3 linked regions of the Oryctolagus cuniculus genome follow. The protein of the gene in region 1 purifies or fractionates together with the protein of each later gene. This does not show direct contact. Links are inferred from orthologs where the notes say so. Each region holds a gene or a part of one and is shown in the gene's direction. Other genes may lie near its edges.

Region 1 (3,746 bases):
TGGAAGACCTCCCCCCACCCCCACCTCAGCCTCTGTAACTCTACTTTTCAAATAAAACAAATAAATCTAAGAGAAGAAAGAAAGAAAAGAAAAGAAAAGAAAAGAAAAGAAAAGAAAAGAAAAGAAAAGAAAAGAAAGAAAAGAAAGAAAAGAAAAGAAAAGAAAAGAAAAGAAAAGAAAAGAAAAGAAAAGAAAAGAAAAGAAAAGAAGGAAGGGAAAGAGAGAGAGAAATTGGCCCGTGTGGGAAATTCAGTTGTCACTTCTCTCCTGAATCTCAGGTCAGAAAACAACTTGGGCTTGGTTTGGTGCTGTTTAACTTTGGTGTGAGGACTGTGTTTTGGTGAGTCTGGTCTGTTGGAGGGGCCTAGGGCTTATTCTGAACAATACCCTCCTGGGGCTGGCGCTGTGGCATAGAAGGCTAAGCCTCCACCTGCACTGTCGTCATCTCTTATGTCCTGGCTGCTCATCTTCCCATCCAGCTCTCTGCTACAGCCTGGGAAAGCAATGGAAGATGGCCCAAGTCCTTGGGCCCTTGCACCCACATGGGAGATCCAGAAGAAGCTCCTGGCTCTTGGCTTTGGCCTCCCGGAGGCCTGGCCACCGAGGCCATTTGAAGAGTGAAACCAGAAGATGGAAGATCTCTGTCTCTCTGCATCTCTGCCTTTCAAATAACATCAATAAATATTTAAAATACACAACAGCCTCCTATAATTTTTATTTAGCAGTTGGAACACATAACCGGGCTTATTAGATCAATGAACTAAGGTAGCTACCATTATTATTGTCATCTGGTTACCAACCAGCCAGTCACTGCTTTCAAATTGCAAAAAGCAAAACCAGAATCTTGACTAATTTTTTTCAGGGCCAGAATATCCTACATGATTATTCTTATTAATTTGCCTAAACAGCACTTTGAAATAGAGGACAATACCGTCACTTTCTATGCTTGTTTTTCGACTTCTTAAGACAGATGGTTCTTTTCTCTTTAGTAAGGAAAAAAATACCAAGTAAAGGGCAAACAGCAATTATGTAAAACAGTTTCAAAAACTGTGGGGTTTCACACAATTCAGAAGTGAGCGCACAGAGAAACCCAGGAACCTGTGAGGTGCGGGGCAGAACCAGCACAACTGAATTCCAAGGCCAGGTTCCTTCTCGAAGAGAAAACCAGGAAATGAGCTCTCATTGTCCCAGACTATCAACGTATTTCACAATTCCCAGTAGGATACTACCGCGCCTGGACCACGCCCACAAATGCCGGTCAGGCAACGTAGCGGGTCGTGCGTCACGGTAAATTTGGCCAGGCCCCGCCTTCTGCGCCCTCTCGTGCGCCTGCGCTCGCTTAAACGGAAGTTGCGCATGCGCAAGATGGGAACAATGTTTCTCCCGCACCCTTTTTTTTCAGGGCTCTCTTGGCAAGGGTATACTTCCGGGTTAAAGGATTTACTTCCGGAGAGCGGGAAGGCTGAAACGCGGTGGCTAACCCAAGGCCGAGTTGGCGAGGTCCTGGGTGGAGAAGGCTGTAAAAATGGACAGGTGAGTTTTGGGGGTGACAGCTGGGCTGGGAGTCTTGTCCCTCTTGCTCTTGCCGGAACGAAATAGATGAAACCAGATTCCGGGAGGAAGCCGAAGAGGTCCAGGGTGCTGGTCCTTGGACGCCTTTCCCGGACCGGGAGATTTCGGCACCTGACGGAGGAAAGCCTTTCGGCGTGGGTTGGGGAAGGGGTGTGGATGGTCGTCCCGCAACTCGCGCCGCGACCCTGCGATCTGTCCGGTGCCTTCCCGCAGCGTCTTTGGTGTCGCGGGTGGGCGGGGTAGGTGGTGGCCGTGCTTTCGAGATGCCGAGCAATCCGCTGGAGACGGTGAAGCTGGTCGGCGACGGCACCGAGATCTCAGCCAGCATCAGATAGGTACCGAGTTCGCCTTACGACCTGGGCGCGGTGGCAGCCGTCTTGCGAGAAAGAGGAGTTATTCAAGGTCCTTGGCCCCGGGGAATTCGTCGTGTAGTGGCAGCGATAACCCCGCCAAGTCAAGGAATAAGCGTTTTGTAGTGCACTGTGGGGAAAATGGAGCAGGTAACAGCCCGTCTCGGGAAGTCATCGGGAAGACCTCTCAAGGTAACGTTCTAGCTGGTGTTATTAGTCCGCAGAACATCCCCACGGTGCCTCCTCTGTGACAGCCGCTGGACTAGCGGTGTATATTCTGTTAGCTTGTTTAATCTGAAGAGCAGTCGTAGGAGCAGAAGTAGCATCATGGGCAACACTGGGGCTAAAGAGACGAAGTAACTCGGTGAAAGCTAGGAAGCTACCAAGTGGAAGAGCCAGGTCACCTTCGCGGACCTGGTGTCTCCAGCCCCCGTGAGGCTGAGGGCTAAGCAGGTGTTCACCTGTGAGCCAGCGCGCGCATGTGGGTCTCTGGGAAAGAAACAGGCTCCGAAATGTGCGGACGTGAAAGAGTGCGTGCTTTGTGCAGCCGAAGGGTCGTAAGGCGGTACCTGTTTTAGGGGGGCGATGTATGGCTGTGACTGTTCCAGAAGACTGTCGACCGCGTGTGATCCCACCGCAGCCTCCTGTGTAAGACAGGCGGGACTGCGTTTGGGAGATTGCAGAAGATCCTTTCAGGAGATGGTTCCTGCAATTCAGGAATTCCGTATTCCAACAGGGAGAGAAAAGATTTACCTTGATGCCGCAATTATCTAAAGCAGTGTTAAAACAAATTCCCAGGAGAAAATAGCATAGTGCTGGACAGTCAGCCAAGTTTTTGTGCAGGGGACCTTAAAGTGGGGTTTGGAGGAATAAGCAGGATTCGGAGCTGAGAGGGCATTCTCAGCAAACAACAGAGATCCAAGACTTAGCTGCTGGAGTGACCTATCCCTGGGCTGACCTGGGGGCTCCTGCTCCGTTCTTATTGATAGACCTTTTGTGCATGCTGCATTGTCATTTCATTTACCCGAGCTTGATTATACTGTTTTAGGGGTGGCTTCGGAGACTTGTCATCCCCTGTGATCCGAGAGGCAGAGGTGACACGCACTGCCAAGAAACAGAGTGCTCAAAAGAGAGTTTTAAGTATCCTTTGCATTTTAAGCATCACGTTACCGATTGTGGTATGTTTAGAATCAGTGTGATAGAATTTTCTTTTTGTGAGCAGTATTAGCTATAATAAAATGCTGTAGAAATTAGGTTTGTTCATTTCACACATAATGTTCTTGATAAATATATTGCTGAAGTTCAATGAGATTAAAATTTATGTTTTCCTGGAAACAAAGATGTTCTGTTTTACTGCTATCATATTTTAGTAAGCTTTTGCTGAGATGAAATTTTCTCTTTTTATTTGAAATCAAAGAACACTTCGGTCAATGTGTAGTTACCTAATATTGACATCCGAGAATTTAAATGGCATGAGGAATTACTTGTTTAAATGGTAGCTATAAAACACCTTGTTCTTAACTGTATTCATGTATTTTGTGTAGTAAAAATTTGGTTAATTCTAACTTTAGTGATCTCTTTTTTGCAAGGAAAATTTTCTTAACTCTTCCTATAGTTCGAACATCCCAAGATGAAAATTTTGTTAATACCACACCAAGAAATCAGATTATCCCTCGAACTCCCAGCTCATTTCGACAGCCTTGTAAGATTTTTGTTATCTGTTTTACCAAGACTGAAAATGAGACTTCAAGAAGTTAATATGGATAATAAGGATGTAAATAATGGACCCAGGATTCAAATATTGGTTTGTTTACTCCAAAGCCT
Region 2 (3,746 bases), about 34 Mb from region 1:
ATGCCAGACAGAGGATTCCTCTGTGTTTGGCACCCACTGGAAATCATGGCACTGAGTCTCTAACAAGCTTCCCTAACAGACAACACTCCACCACAAGCTGCAGAAGAATTCAGCGTGTCCCGGTGACTCTACAAGGAGAGGACCTTCGGTCTTCTGTGCCTGGTCTTCCCTCCACCTTGCCCCATTAGCCTTTTACTTTTGCTGACTTTGCTTTGCAGCCCTTTGCTGCAATAACTCAGACCTGCGACTATCACTATAGGCTGAGTTCTTTGAATTGTCTTAAATGATCCAGTGGGGGGAGGTCTTGGAGGTGCTGTCTTGCTGCTCTGAGACTGCCCTATGAGGTGAGAAGCTTTCCACCTGGCTGTCCAGGTAGAGCTATCATCATCACACAGAAACCAGGAAAGAATACCCACCCTCTTTACTTAGCTTTCAGCCAGTTGTGAGAACGCAGTGAATAAGCAAGCACTCTGATTGGCAGGCTGAGCTATTAAAAAAAAAAAAAAAAAAAAAAAAAAAAAAAAAAAAGCCAGTCATAGAAGGCAGCAGAGATAATAAACACTTTTTTTAAAAAAAAAAGCTAGATTCCAAGATGCACTCGAGCCAAATTGTGAGACAGGAAGTTGTGGCTGGGAGGCAATGTGAGATGGTGAAATAACTTTATTTTCCAGTCACAGCTGTGTTCAGATCCAGTCCTCTCTCCCCCTCCCGTGTGTTGGCTGCACATCCTTTCGCATTTAAAATCTGATGGGCATTAGGTATCTTCACATGTAAAAAGGGAACGGTAATTCCTACCTCATAGAAATGGGCTCATAATCCACTCGTGCCAGGCACTTAGTAGGTGCACAATAAACAAAATGTGGGTGCTGTGAACTTCAGATAACGCCCCAGACCCACCTAAGCTCCAGAGCGAAGCGACTGCCCAAAAAACACCTAGACGGTCACAGGCACTCGACTGTCGCCGAAATGCCCTCCCCAGCCTGAATCACCACTTCAGGTGCCACAGGCAGGCATAGACGAAACCAGGACTCACCCGGCTCGGTTCACCGGCAGACGCGGGAGGCGCAGAACCCACCAAGTCCAGGTTCCCCCCGGCAGTCGTCCCGCAGCTACCGCAGTGCCCACGGGTTACATTTTAAATCTCGCGGGAGGGCCTGGGAGCCAATCGCTGCATTCGCCCTCCGACCCGGAAGCAGAGCCGGCGCACGCCTCCTCTGCCTGCAGCGGAGACCAGGTTGCTTTTGGTGGCTTCTCGGCGCTCTCCGGTGCGTATCCCTGTGGGAGCCTGAGGCGCAGCGCTCTGCGGCTTCTGGTTTCCCTACGCTTCCACCCTGTTCCTGGGAATTCCTGCCTCCCATCTCGGGCTCAGGGAGGTGGGAGCGGAGTCTCTAGGGACTCGGCTGGCCAGGCGCGGGGGCTCACTGTCGGGACTTCTCTTGGCCCTTCACTCCTTGTAGGTCTGGAGAGGCCAGCAGTCCGCCTTGTGCGGGAGGCCCTAAGGACGTAGTGACCCCAGGCATTGCTTTAATGAGTAATAGGTGAGGTGCTGGGACCCGGTTTCCTGACCTCTAATCTCTTGCGTGGATATCTAATCACCCAGAATAAATGTGCAGTCCTTCTGCCTATTCGTTGAGGTTCATAAGCCCCCCGGACGTAGGATTCACCTGATTCTCAGTAGATAATCATCAGATGCTGTATGCTTTTGTTACTGAGTTCATCAGTTTGCCCGACAACTCTGAATTTGGGTTTGGTGTAATGAAAAGAAGAAAACCTTTAAAATCTATATTTTAAAAATCTATATTTCTCATGTGGGAATGCTACTTGCAAACTGCACACACTAGGCCCTGAAGGTTGGGTAAAATTTTGTGCCTGGTTTTACAAATGTTGTTTTTATATTACGCATTTTGGAGCTCCTTTTAACTGCTTATATGGTAGCACTTTTCACGCTGGATCAAAACCATACCTAAGTTGTGATCTTCAAGGCAGGAAGCTGTGGTTTCCTTCTCCAGCACTGGTACCCAACACAACAAAGTCAATTCCTGGCTCTGCTTTTGAGCTTGGTAAATTAGTTAACTGCCCACTTGGTAAATTAGTTAACTTTTCAGTTTCTTCATCTGTAAAACGAGGATGTGCACATATTGGCTATGATAGTATCAGTAAAATGCTTAACATGACACCTAATAAATAGTACTCTATAAATGTTAAGTCTCAATTTTGTGAATATATTTTCTATTAAAATTATTCCATTTTCAAATACTCAGGATATCTTTTACATAAACAGAATTTTATGATATTACTATTCTGTGGGTATCTCTGATGAGTATGGTTAAAAGAAGAAGATTGTGGAACAAATGTTCAGCCATTAATAATTAGATTGGCTGTTTTTTCCTGCAGTTTTTGCCCCTTGGGAAGTACTTTTAAATGTTTCTTTTGAATTGTGTGTAGCATTGCAATGCCAGAACCATGTTTTGATTCATTTGCTGAATAACACTTTGACCATTGCTAATTGTGTCTGTGCTGTAATCCACAGTTTTGTGACGTTGTGCAGTAGAAGGCTGTTTTATTTTTACATCTGCTCAAGTTTTGACATACAATATGAAGCAAAATGCCACAAGAAATGCTACTTACACTGTGGATTGTGAAGATTATGTGCACGTGGTGGAATTTAACCCCTTTGAGAGTGGGGATTCAGGAAACCTAATTGCATATGGAGGCAATAACTTTGTGGTCATTGGCACGTGTACATTTCAGGTTAGTGTGAAAAACTGCAGTGAATGAGAGTGAACATATTTCACTGATAAGAAAACTTACATGAACAAAAGCTAAACTTTGAAAGTGTGTATTGAGTTTAAATGCTTAAAAAAAAAGATCCACATAGAAAGACATCCCAGCAATATTTGGTTAAGATTTGTGTAAAAATGCAGATGGTGATAAAAGGAATGTGAAACTCCTCTTTTGACTCATGATTAGTAATGAATGATTCATGTAATTGAAGTACATGACTGACTAAACATTATAATATACAACAAAAGCCGCAATTGAGATCCAATGAATTACAGTTTTTCTGCATTCTGCTTTGACATAGGAAACAAACTAATAATGAAAGTCTAAAAAATTATCTTCCAGGAGATTTTACAGGTTTCCTATTATTCAGCTTTCCTATTTGTTTTCGTACATTTTATACCTCTAAAACGTACATCTGGAGTAAACAAAGTATGAGATCGTTATTAACTGAACAGGCAGTTGGGCATAGCCACCAAGAGCATGAATTCTAGAACAAAGTATTTACTTCTGCTTTTTATACCTCATAATAGCTTGGCAACCTTGAGCAGGTATTTAATCTCTCCTATAAAGATGAGAAATAATATTCCATTAATAGAGAGTTTTATGAGGATGTAATTAGTAAGTATATGTATGTATAAGATTCCCAGAAGGCATCTGGCATGTTGTGATCTATGTATGTTTCATTGTCATTGATATGGGCAACAGTGACACTCAGTCTCAGACCCTTTATATCACCAAAGTTAAGATTGCTTTGTGGTGAGCACACCATGTTCTTTCACAGGAAAGCTAGTCTGCATGTAAGACAAACTTTTGAATAAGCACAATGTTCAACCCTGAGGAGTCTCTGGTCAGTTCATTGTTCACCAGAGCATTATTCATAGAACTATGTTACTCAGATTAATAGATGAAGTAATGCAGCAGTGACCAATTTTCAAAGACTTAAGATAACTTCGTCACTGAAG
Region 3 (3,746 bases), on another chromosome or scaffold:
GCTTCTTCCAGGTCTCCCATATGGGTGCAGAGGCCCAAGCACTTGGGCCATCTTCTACTGCTCCTCCAGGAGCCGGATCAGAAGTGGAGCAGCCGGGACTCCAACCGGTGTCCATATGGGATGCGCGCGTCGCAGGCCCGCGGCCCAACGCTCTCTGTCCGCCCCATGGATGATGGGTTGGGGGCCTCAGTGCCGGGATCCGAGACGAGTTAGCCTCCTGGACTCCGGTATCCTAATCCAGGAATCAAAGGGCCCGGACCCTGGTGTCCGCCGCGGGCGGCTCTCAGCACAGCGCCCAGGTCGGATCCTGAAGCCCCTTACTCACCTACCTCGACCCCCACAGGCCGTCTTCAGAGCACCCAGTGTGGGGGCGGGGTGGGGGGATACACGTCTCTGGTGAGCGCTCACTCAGCCAGGCGGGGGCCCGGACCCTGGTGTCCGCCGCGGGCGGCTCTCAGCACAGCGCCCAGGTCGGATCCGGAAGCCCCTTACTCACCTACCTCGACCCCCACAGGCCGTCTTCTGAGCACCCGGGGGTGGGGGCGGGGTGGGGGGCACACGTCTCCGGTGAGCGAGCACTCAGCCAGGCGGGGGCCCGGACCGCGGCGACGCCGGGAGCACCTGAGGAACGCCCGGGCTCAAGAAAGACAACCCGACAAATTCTGCCAGAAGAGCAACCAGCCCGAAGCGGTTCCTACTCCCGCTGCCCGAGCCCCAGCGCGCCCGCCCGCCAGCCCGCCCCGGCCGTCGGGTCCGCGGTTGCCCGCAAGGCGCCTCCCTCGGCAGCGGACCCGAGCGAGCACCGGCGGGAGTCCGCCCGCTCCCTACGCCTCTCCGGACACCCTCAGGCTGACTGACCTCCCGCAGAACGTGCACGCGTGGCGCTCGAGCCCGACCGACTTGGCTCCGCCGCGGCCGTGCGCTCGCGTGCCGGGACCGGCTTCTAGCGGCCAGACTCCTTCCAGGTGCCAACTCCACGGCCCCTGAGTTCATCAGCAAGCGACTCACGCCTATCCCCGGGGGGTCTCGGTCAGGCGGCGCAGATTGATGACGCGCGCCTCCGCCGGAGCGACAGCGGTCGCCACCCCGCCCCCTTGCGGACGCCATTGAGAGCGTGGCGGTAGCCCGGCGCCGGCCCGCCGACTCGGCCCGGGACCGACCGATGCCCTCTAGTGGCTCAGTGTCTCGAAGCCGCCCTAGAGGACGACCCATGGCCAGCCGCGGCTGGGACGGTAAGGACTCCCCGCGTTGCGGGGAGGGAGGTGGGTTGACGAGTCCGAGTGTGGCGCCACCGCGCGGACAGTGGGCTCCGCAGCTGAGAGAAGAGCCCGGGGCGAGGAGGAAGGAAGAAGCGGAACGGGCGGTACGGGACGGCGTTTGCGGCAGGAAGGGAAAGAGCGAGACACCACTTCCCCGGGGGCTGCGAGGCCGGAAGCGGCCCGGATCCGGAAACCGGCGCGCTGCCGCAGTCGGGCCGCGGGCGCTGGGGGCGTTTCGGGCCGCGGCTCACGGGACTCGCCTTCCCAGGTTGCCGCCGCGGGACCCTCCGGCGGGCGGGCGCTCGAGAGCCGCCGAGCGAGACGGCGGAGGCGGCCCAGGCGCCCGGGCCGTGCGGGTCGTCGCCCTTCTCCTCGGACGCCGCCGCCGCCGCGGCCCCCGGCGCGGTCGACATGGCGGCCGTGCTGCAGCAAGTCCTGGAGCGCGCGGAGCTCAACAAGCTGCCCAAGGCCGTGCAGAGCAAACTGGAGAAGTTTCTCGCCGACCAGCAGTCGGAGATCGACGGCCTGAAGGGGCGGCACGAGAAGTTCAAGGTGGAGAGCGGTGAGTCCTCGGGCCCCGGGTTTGCGGACGGCGCGGCCGTTCGTGCCGGGAGGGGTGGTCGCGGGACCCCGGCCGGCCTCCGAGGAGTGGGGTTCGTGGACGGCGGCGCGGCGGGGCTCGGGTGCGCTCGCTGGGCGCCGCGGCGGTCCGCGGCGGTCCGCGGGGGCGGGCAGCGGCCGGGGCGCCGCCGCCGCGAGCGGAGACCGGGACGGGCAGTGCCTGCCGCCGCCGCGCGCTGCGAGGGGTCGGCTCCGGCTTTTGTGCTCGCTGCCCGGGAGCTCTGAGTGAGTGGCGCCCCCGGGGTCGGCTCGCGCCCACGGCTGGTCTCGCGACCCCGCGCGTTCCGGCCGCGGCTGCGTGCCCGGCGCGCCGCCGGCCCCTCGCCTTGGGACTCCGGCCATTTCACTTCCACCTCCGTGTGGTCACTTGATGTGTTTGGCGGGCGTTGCGTGGACTGTCTTACCGCAGGTTTTTCTAAGCAAAGCAGTTTCAGTCTGAACGGTTCTTCCCTGCACTGGGTTTTCTCTCCGGTCGGCTGCGTGCTGGGCACTCTGGACGCGCGGGGAGCCCGCCTCGGGGTCCTTCCTTCTTGGAGGCCTTCGTCTCTGTCGTGTGAGATAGGGTAGAGAAGTGCTCTGTCAGTTCTCAGTCCATATTTATTCAGTTTCTGCTAGCCTGCGCTTTAAAGTCAAGGCTGTTAGACGTATGTACTGGCTGCACGGACCGGTGTTTGAAGCCGTCTCTTCTTCTGCAGAACAACAGTACTTTGAGATAGAGAAGAGGCTGTCCCACAGTCAGGAGAGACTTGTGCATGAGACCCGAGAGTGCCAGAGCCTAAGGACGGAGCTGGAGAAGCTGAGTAAGTATTGGGTGGCATCTTTCTACGTGTTGTTAGAGCTTTGGCGTCTTCAGACTTGCTTTATTTGCTTTGGGAACGTTTACTTACTGTTTGTGAAAATGCTGCTTAGGCATCACTGGTTTTGTTTAGAGCAGCATTTTGATTTTTCACTTCAGCAGTAAGGACTTGGTATGCATGTATAGTCGGGAGACCTGGGGTCTAATTTTGACTTTGCTATTAAATAGAGCAGTTTCGCTGGGGCTGGCGTTGCATCGCATTGAGTTAGGCTGCCACTAGTGACGGCAGCATCCTGTGGCAGACACCAGGTCAGGTCCCAGCTGCTCTCCCTCCAATCCGGCTTCCTACTGATGTGCCTGAGAAAGCAGCGGAAGATGGCCCACACACTTGGGTCCCTGCCACGCATGTGGGAGACCTGCAGAGCGTTCTGGGCTTCCAGCTTTGACCTGGCCCAACTCTGGAGCCCCTGACATTTGGGTAGTGAATGGGTGGATGGGAGATCTCGTCTTACCCTCTCTGTCACTCTGCTTTTCAAATAAATAAATTTAAAATTTAAGGGCAGTTTTTCGATATGTAGATCATAGGTATGTGATTGGAGTTTATAAGGTAGCCTGACCCACAGGCCCATCTAATACAGCTTTGCATATCAAATAAGATGATATATTTTCTTCAGAGATTTATTTATTTGAAAGGCAGTGTTACAGAGAGGCAGAGGCAGTGAGAGAGATCTTCCATCTGCTGGTTCACTCCCCAAATGGCCTCAATGGCCAGGGCTGGGCCAGTTCAAAGCATGGAGCCAGGAGCTTCAGCCAATCTCACACGTGGGTAGAGGGCTCCAAGCACTTGGGCCATCTTCTGATGCTTTCCCAGGCACATTAGCAGGGAACTGGATCGGAAGTGGAGCAGCCAGGACTAGAACCAGTGCCCATATGAGATACCAGCAGTGTGGGCAGTGGCTTTACCCATTATGTCACAGTGCCAGCCCCCATAAGATGATATTTTTGAAAGCATTTTGGGAAAGTGTAAGTGTTATGCTATTGAAGAACATTCTGGAGACAGGGCAGCGTAT

What was found. The genes of interacting proteins can lie anywhere in the genome.
Region 2: the proteins of NUP107 (region 1) and NUP37 purify together in Homo sapiens (affinity purification with mass spectrometry; 7 studies listed by BioGRID and IntAct, with this or other methods). This does not show direct contact. The link is inferred for Oryctolagus cuniculus from reciprocal best matches to the Homo sapiens genes NUP107 and NUP37.
Region 3: the proteins of NUP107 (region 1) and TPR fractionate together in Homo sapiens (co-fractionation; 4 studies listed by BioGRID and IntAct, with this or other methods). This does not show direct contact. The link is inferred for Oryctolagus cuniculus from reciprocal best matches to the Homo sapiens genes NUP107 and TPR.

What each region holds. Positions count from the first base shown.
Region 1 is NC_091442.1:71,066,159-71,069,904, forward strand, and holds the start of NUP107 (nuclear pore complex protein Nup107), read left to right. Parts: upstream 1-1,372; 5' UTR 1,373-1,525; coding exon 1,526-1,533; intron 1,534-2,970; coding exon 2,971-3,062; intron 3,063-3,537; coding exon 3,538-3,624; intron 3,625-3,746. UniProt on the Homo sapiens protein: Plays a role in the nuclear pore complex (NPC) assembly and/or maintenance. Required for the assembly of peripheral proteins into the NPC. May anchor NUP62 to the NPC. Involved in nephrogenesis.
Region 2 is NC_091442.1:105,071,949-105,075,694, reverse strand, and holds the start of NUP37 (nucleoporin Nup37), read left to right. Parts: upstream 1-1,156; 5' UTR 1,157-1,265; intron 1,266-1,963; exon of another isoform or gene 1,964-2,102; intron 2,103-2,530; 5' UTR 2,531-2,595; coding exon 2,596-2,751; intron 2,752-3,746. Other genes in the region: PARPBP (PCNA-interacting partner), read right to left, coding at 796-800. UniProt on the Homo sapiens protein: Component of the Nup107-160 subcomplex of the nuclear pore complex (NPC). The Nup107-160 subcomplex is required for the assembly of a functional NPC.
Region 3 is NC_091444.1:3,555,862-3,559,607, reverse strand, and holds the start of TPR (nucleoprotein TPR), read left to right. Parts: upstream 1-1,081; 5' UTR 1,082-1,162; coding exon 1,163-1,232; intron 1,233-1,446; exon of another isoform or gene 1,447-1,527; coding exon 1,528-1,821; intron 1,822-2,575; coding exon 2,576-2,680; intron 2,681-3,746.